Linked DNA regions of Sus scrofa. The protein of the gene in region 1 purifies or fractionates together with the protein of each later gene. This does not show direct contact. Links are inferred from orthologs where the notes say so. Each region holds a gene or a part of one and is shown on either strand. Other genes may lie near its edges.

Evidence for each region. Proteins that work in one complex are often made in the same cells at the same time.
Region 2: the proteins of CUL4B (region 1) and GRWD1 purify together in Homo sapiens (co-immunoprecipitation; 4 studies listed by BioGRID and IntAct, with this or other methods). This does not show direct contact. The link is inferred for Sus scrofa from reciprocal best matches to the Homo sapiens genes CUL4B and GRWD1.

What each region holds. Positions count from the first base shown.
Region 1 is NC_010461.5:98,685,483-98,689,132, forward strand, and holds part of CUL4B (cullin-4B), read right to left. Parts: intron 3,522-3,650; coding exon 3,454-3,521; intron 2,289-3,453; coding exon 2,170-2,288; intron 1,566-2,169; coding exon 1,373-1,565; intron 1-1,372.
Region 2 is NC_010448.4:53,852,659-53,856,865, reverse strand, and holds the end of GRWD1 (glutamate-rich WD repeat-containing protein 1), read right to left. Parts: intron 3,893-4,207; coding exon 3,679-3,892; intron 3,492-3,678; coding exon 3,349-3,491; intron 3,217-3,348; coding exon 3,019-3,216; intron 1,605-3,018; coding exon 1,287-1,604; 3' UTR 637-1,286; downstream 1-636. UniProt on the Homo sapiens protein: Histone binding-protein that regulates chromatin dynamics and minichromosome maintenance (MCM) loading at replication origins, possibly by promoting chromatin openness.

The DNA.
Region 1 (3,650 bases):
AAATGGCTGAAAGACTTAAATATACGACAGGACACCATCCAACTCCTAGAAGAAAACATAGGCAAAACACTCTCTGACATCAACATCATGAATATTTTCTCAGGTCGGTCTCCCAAAGCAATAGACCTTAGAGCAAAAATAAACCCATGGGACCTCATCAAACTGAAAAGCTTTTGCACAGCAAAGGAAACCCAAAAGAAAACAAAAAGACAACTTACAGAATGGGAGAATATAGTTTCAAATGATGCAATGGACAAGGGCTTATCTCTAGAATATATAAGCAACGTATACAACTCAACAGCAAAAAAACCAATCAATCAATGGAAAAATGGGCAAAAGACCTGAATAGACATTTCTCCAAAGAAGATATACAGATGGCCAACAAACACATGAAAAAATGCTCACCATTGCTGATTATAAGAGAAATGCAAATCAAAACTACCATGAGATATCACCTCACCCCAGTCAGAATGGCCATCAGTAATAAATCCACAAATAACAAGTGCTGGAGGGGCTGTGGAGAAAAGGGAACCCTCCTGCACTCTTGGTGGGAATGTAAACTGGTACAGCCACTATGGAGAACAGTTTGGAGATACCTTAGAAATCTATACATAGAACTTCCATGTGACCCCGCAATCCCACTCTTGGGCATCTATCCGGACAAAACTCTACTTAAAAGAGACACGTGCACCCGCATGTTCATTGCAGCACTATTCACAATAGCCAGGACATGGAAACAACCCAAATGTCCATCGACAGATGATTGGATTCGGAAGAGGTGGTATATATACACAATGGAATACTACTCAGCCATAAAAAAGAATGACATAATGCCATCTGCAGCAACATGGATGGAACTAGAGAATCTCATCCTGAGTGAAATGAGCCAGAAAGACAAAGACAAATACCATATGATATCACTTATAACTGGAATCTAATATCCAGCACAAATGAACATCTCCTCAGAAAAGAAAATCATGGACTTGGAGAAGAGACTTGTGGCTGCCTGATGGGAGGGGGAGGGAGTGGGAGGGATCGGGAGCTTGGGCTTATCAGACACAACTTAGAATAGATTTACAAGGAGATCCTGCTGAATAGCATTGAGAACTTTGTCTAGATACTCATGTTGCAACAGAAGAAAGGGTGGGGGAAAAAATGTAATTGTAATGTATACATGTAAGGATAACCTGACCCCCTTGCTGTACAGTGGGAAAATAAAAAAAATTATAAAAAAAAAAGAAATCATCACCTAAGTAACTCCAAATAAATGAGGTGTTAATTTACTACAACCTTGTCAAAATTTCAGATTAACTCAAATTTTATGAGTAAAAGAAGAACATTAAATAATTGGGGAAAGGAATTGGAAAAATACCTATAAGTTCAGCAGGTTTGTTTGGTCTTTTGTTAATAAATGTTTCAAATGCTTCTTTCATGGCGTTGATAAATTTTTCATTCTTCAGAAAACAGATATCAATTATATGGTCAACCTTATCTTTAAAATCCAGTAATTCTTGAACCATGGTTTTATCCTTTTCAGGATTAATTACAATAGTGCTACCAAATGCCTAAAAAACAGAAATAACCACTTTTTACCAGAATTGAATTATCTACAATGAAAATAATCCAAAAATCATATTTTAAGTAGGTACACATACTTTAAAATCTCAAAAAACTTAAAATAAAATAAAGCTAGTTTTGAAGTCAAGGAAAGAAAAAAATAGTGAAAAAATACCATTCATCTATAATCACAAAATAATGAATGATCACTGGGTATACAGTATCATAATGGGGTATTATTATAGAAGTGTCTAGGGTCTTTTCCCTACTTTTAAAGAAGTGAGCTTTGAATTTTTAGAAAATAGCAATCTGCCTTCAGTGTAAGATTGAAAAAAGGGAAGAAATTTGGATAGAAAAAAGGTCCTATTTCTTTCTCCACATTCACTGCTCTGAGTATCAGAGCTAGAAATCACATCAGACATCAAGAAGGTAACTGTTTTATTGCTAATTTTCCACACAGCTATCATTCTCAGGTTGACTGCTCTCAAAATTCTCATTACTTAAAAAAAATTGGATCTCACGAGTACTAAATGCTAGCTGATATGCACTCTGGATATATAAATGATAAGCCATGAGAGGAAAAAAAAAAAAAACCAGGTTAATTGTTAATACCTTAATGTATTCAATCCACTGTTGCAAGAGAACCTGAACGCCTCCTCGAACTCTACTGAAGAGTTGATATAGGAGAGATAAATCTTGAATTCGGTTTTCATCAAGGAGATTATTTAAACCTGAATTTTGAAGTATTTGTTATTAAAAAAGTGAAAACATCAGATATTGTAATGAAAATTAAGTTAAATTATTACTGTGATACTAGATTTTAATATGGATATGTGCTCTGAATTAAACTCAAAGAGACAGTCACCTTTCCAAATGAAAACTAAATATAGAAAACTTTACATAAAAATAAAAATAATAATATAGCAGTTTATACTATTTAGTATGGCAGATCACATGTATAAACCAACTTATAAAAACTGATTTACATAAATATATATACTTCATATCAAATTTGTAACAGCCATATATACATCAGTGTACATAGGTATATTTTAGAGTATTAGATATGGCCTGTGGTATATTGAAACCCATGTACCAATAGGCAAAGTTTAAATGAAGTTCTAATGCATTTGATTTTCAGAATGAATAGCGTAACTGCATTAAAATTCTAAAATATTTTACACAAAAGAAAAGATGACTGGAAAGAAAGGTAAGACTTTGGCCTATTTGTGGCACTGTCAAAATTCAGGACATCCTCATAGATAACTTAGGAGTAATAGAAATGCTTGGTTCTGGGAGTTCCCGTCATGGCACAGCGGAAACGAATCCGACTAGGAACCATGAGGTTGCAGGTTCGATCCCTGGCCTCGCTCAGTGGGTTAAGGATTCGGCATTGCCGTGAGCTGGGGTGTAGGTTGTAGACTCAGCTCAGATCTGGTGTTGCTGTGCTGCCTGTGGTGTAGGCCAGTAGCTTAGCTCCAAATGGACCACTAGCCTGGGAACCTCCATATGCCATAGGTGCAGCAGCCCTAAAAAGACAAAAAAAAAAAGCAAAAAAAAAGAAATGCTTGGTTTTATATGCTAGGAACAGAAACATTTTAGTGAAAAAATGCCTTTCCTTATTACTGTAGTCTTACAAATTAAAATAAAAAATCCCCAAATTCCCACTGTTTCTTTACTGGTATTGGTAGAGTCCTCTCATCTTACTTTCTGTATCTTAAGGAAAGAAGCACCTCCTTAAGTTTACAGTGATGACTAGGGAAAAGTGGGTTGCATCCATCCTCAGAAATGCAGCCACACGCTAGCAAATTTTCAAAGGTGCAATCTTTAAAAATTTTCTACTTGTTTGCTGCTATCATTTAAAAAGTAATCTCTTATTTATAAATTGCCAATTACCTTTCTGAAGAATTGCTGTTAAGTGTTCACCTAGAAGTTGTTTCTCTACAGTAGCAATTAATGACTTCCTACAAAAAAAATTAGAATTATTGACATTTGACTTTGCTAAAAATTTACAGCCTCTCCTGGGGGGGGGAATCATATTTCAGAATTTTGTAACAGCATGAAATAAATACTTTCACAGTCTTGCTGTGGCT
Region 2 (4,207 bases), on another chromosome or scaffold:
GCCGGGGCTCCGCACCGGAGGCACATACCTGCTGGGGCGGCCCACCCCCATGCCCTCTGCCGGGGGGATCCTCTGCTCGGGCACAGGGGAGGCCTCCGTGGGTGCTGAGGGGCTGCCGTCTGTCCTCGGCGCCCAACCTCTGCGTCCACAGCAGATCAGAGGCCTGGCCCGAGGGGGGGCAGGGGGTGGGGCCAGCCCAGAGCCGCAGAGGGGGAGCCAGGGAGGACGGCCAGGCAGGGCGGCTGGGCCCCGGCCCAAGCAGGCTGGTGAGGAGACGGTGGCGGAGGAGAGACACAGAAGGGGGAGGCGGCAGGGAGCCAGAGCTTGGGGGCCAGGAGACGCAGGACAGACGGGGACGCCAGTGCGACAGAGAAAGACGGGGACCCACATGAGGGAACAAAGACATGGTGAGTGAGACAGAGACCACGAGGACAGTGGTGGAGAGACAAGAGGGACGGGGGCTCCCTGGGTCCCCGAGATGCTGGGGGGCACATGGGAGATTCCTGCCCAGAGACCCGGGGTGAACTGCAGGTGGAACAGGATGTAGGGAGGACAGAACCGGACAGCACTTAATGGGCTGAGGGTTCGGCCACATACAGCAGGGACCCAGTGGCCAGGAGGACAAGTCTAATCCACTCCGCATCTCCTCTGGTCCTTTATTGCCCCTCGGGAGCCCGCACTTTTCCTCCCTGCAAGCGCCCCCCTTCGGGAGGAGGGGAGAAGGCCCCACACAGCCTCTCCCTGGGAAGCTCTGTGGCCACATCCAGCTGGCAGGAGGACAGGGACTAAACCAAATTCGGCTGGAAGAACCCAGCCCTCAAATTTGGCACAGCCACTGCAAAGCACGCGAGTTCCCTGGGGGAGCCCAGTGGCTGAGAGGTCAAAGGGTCAAGCCCAGTGGCATGCAGCTAACAGAGTATCTGCAGCAACACAGCCACCTTCAGGCCCACCTGGGAAATGGGCCAATGGACTCTTCTGACAGGTGGGGGTCACCGGGCTGAACCAAGTCCTTGGGTAGGAGGGGTCAGTGGGGTCAAACCCAGTGGTTTTATAGGGCCACGGGGCAAACCACATCCTTCGGCTGGAAGGGTCACTGGACCAAACCAACACCTTTCCAAGTCAAATGGAATCCATCGGGGCGGTCAACCGGCCAAACTAAGTCCCTTCGGAGGGGGGGGGCTGGCCTCCCCTCCAGATCTGAGAGAGTCCCCTCCAGGGGAAGGAACTTAACTTCCGCTCCCGAGCGGAGGACCAGACAGACGCGGGCGGGCAGGCGGCGGGCGGCCTCACACGCTGATGGTGCGGAAGACGGTAAAGCCCGACAGGGCGGTGCTGACCAGGACCCCGGGGCACTGCGGGTGCCAGTGCAGCTCCTTCAGGTCCGTCTCGCCCTGGTGCACGAACAGCAGCTGCTGGGGCAGGCCCACCAGCCCGGGGTCGGTCTCCGTGTCGCCTGCCTCGGGGTCCCGCTCCACGGCCAGGTCCCACTGGGTGATCTGGTTGTCTGCTCCGGAGGCCGCGAAGACCCCGCTGTCCTGGGGGTGCCACTCAACCGAGGTCACGGGGGCCACATGCTGCTTGAAGGTGGCCACTGGGGAGCCCGACTGTGGGAAGATCGGAGTCAGGGCCTCTGAGCCCCTCAGCCTGACTCTTGGGGTGACCTGGGCAGAGTACCCCACCCTTCTCCAGCCTTGGGATTCAACCAAGGTTCCACCCCTTGTGCCCCCACGAACCCAGGTTCTCTGAAAGGGACAGAGGGCAAACTGCAGCTGGTCGCAAAGGTGTAATGTCTCAGGGGCTGCAGTGCCCTCACCTGCCAAGAGGCCCTGCCCAGCTCTAGGTCACAGAACCCCCCCTCGCTCCTGCCTGGCCTGCCTCCGTTTCCTTTCCTATGAAAGGAACATGTGGCTCTCCAGGTTCATCCCAGAAGGCCTTAAAGGTGACAAAAGCACTCCCAGGCTGGGAGTTCCCTGGTGGCCTAGCAGTTAAGGATTTGGTGTTGTCACTACTGTGGCACGGTTCAATTCCTGGCCCAGAAACTATCATATGCCACGTGGATGACCAAAAAGCAAAACAAGGTGTTCCCGTGTGGCTCAGTGGTAATGAACCCAACTAGTGTCCATGAGGATGCGGCTTCCATCCCTGGCCTCGCTCAGTGGGTTATGGATCTGGCGTTGCTATGAGCTGCATTGTAAGTCTCAGACACAGCTTGGATCCCTTGGTGCTGTGGCTGTGGTGTAGGCTGGCAGCTGGAGCTCCGATTAGACGCCTAGCCTGGGAACCTCCATATGCTGTGGGTGTGACCCTAAAAAGACAAAAAAACCCAAACCAAAACCAAACGAAAACATTCCCGGGCTCCAGAGAAGGCTGATGCAGAGCATAGCACTTTTACTAAAGCAAAGGTGGGGATCAGAGCCTCTGTGATTTGGCAAGGTGGTTCCAAAGTTCCAACCACCAATCCACTTGGCCATATGACCTGGCCCTGAACCTCCTGCCTTGGGGGCTCCCTTTCCAGAAGTTTCTCCCTTCCATTGGGGAAAGAAAAAAGATGATCTGGGGAGGGCACAGAGGTGCATGAAGCCCTGGCTCTGTCTAGGGAGACACCAGAGGCTGCCCCAGCCCCACAGTTCTACAAGGTCCACTCCTCGCTGGCAATACCGCACCCCCTCCCCGTGTGCCTCTGCCCCTTCTTCACCTCGGGTCCCTCTCCCAGTCATGCTGTGAAATCCACTGGAAGCAAAACTATGATCTTCTGAAGCCCCGGAGGCCCTGGGCAGCACGGCGCGACGGCTGGAGTCCCTGCCACCACCTGCCCCTCTTGACAGCGCTCCAGCTGGCATGGAGCAACCCCACTGCAGCCCCAAGCCTGGTCCCTGCTGAGCCTGGTGCCCCATCTGTTCCCTGATTCAAAGGGCCTTCCCGGCACCAGTGTATAAACCCCACAGGAGGGAAACCCCACAGATCCTAGCGGCTGCAGGAAGCAAGGGCTTCTCCCCTGGGGCCCAGCTGGGACTGTACCTTGAACTGCCGCAAGTCCCAGACCTTGAGGGCTCCGTCGTCCCCGCCACTGAGCAGAAAGGGCTCCTGCCGGCTCCAGCTGATGACGTTGACATCCCCGTTGTGGGCGGCGGGGGTGGTGAGCATGCAGGCCTTGCTGGGCGCCGCCCGGATGTCCCAGATGCGAATGGAAGCGTCGGCCGAGCAGGAGGCAAATACCTGGACAAGGCAGAGTCTGAGGGACCCTGGTGGACCCCACATACCCTGAAGATCCTGATCCCTCAGCAGGACCTGCGCCCAGCCCCCTCCTCCCCCAAGACCTTGGAGTCGAGACCCCCAGCCCTCCCTCACCGTGTCCTCTGTTGGGGACCACTGCAGGTCCTCCACGGAGCGTGTGTGGCCCACAAACGGCCGCTGGTCCACGTGCCAGGAGCCACTGTCCGTAGGTGTCCAGAGGTGGATGTTCTTCTGACAGTCCCCGGTCAGCAGGCGCCCTGGGTGAGGGAGTCGGGAAACGACGTCTTGGCACCCGGCCATGGCTCACTCCCGCTCCTCCCAGAGCCTGCTCCCTCTCAGCCCCCAGGTGGAAGTTCCCGGGCCAGGGATCGACCCCGAGCCACTGCAGTGACAACACTGGATCCTTTAGCTACTGTGCCACAAGGGCGCACCCCAAGGACTCACCAGGCACTCGAGGGGACCAGTCAAGTGCAAAGCCCTCGCCCATGTGGCCAGAGAAGGCGAAGATGGGCTTCACGCGGGCCTGCTCATCTCGGAGGAAAGTGGCCAGGGCCTGGGGGTCATCCACCACCTGCAGGAGCCGCCGCAGTGCAAACACCTCTACCTGGCCCTTCTCTGACCACACCCCGGCCACCGGCTCCTCACCCAGCCACGACACCTGCAGGGGAGCGAGGAGGAGAGGGGAGGGGGGAGGCACAGGGTGGTGACCACAGTCCCTAGCATTGCTGAGAACCAGAAGTGCAGTTACTCAGACCCCACCCACCCAGCCCTGGGACTACAACTCCCAGAAACCCTTGCGAGTCCGGACTCATGGCCGCAAGACGGGATTGGTACCTGGGACAGCTCCACCCCGCAGGAGAGGTGGTGCTTGGGGAGGACAAAACTCCTCCCAGACTCCCGGGATTTGAGGCTCTGGTTCCACTAGCGCCCCAAAGTGTGTTCAGACTCCTGTCTCCGTAACCCTCTAAACGTA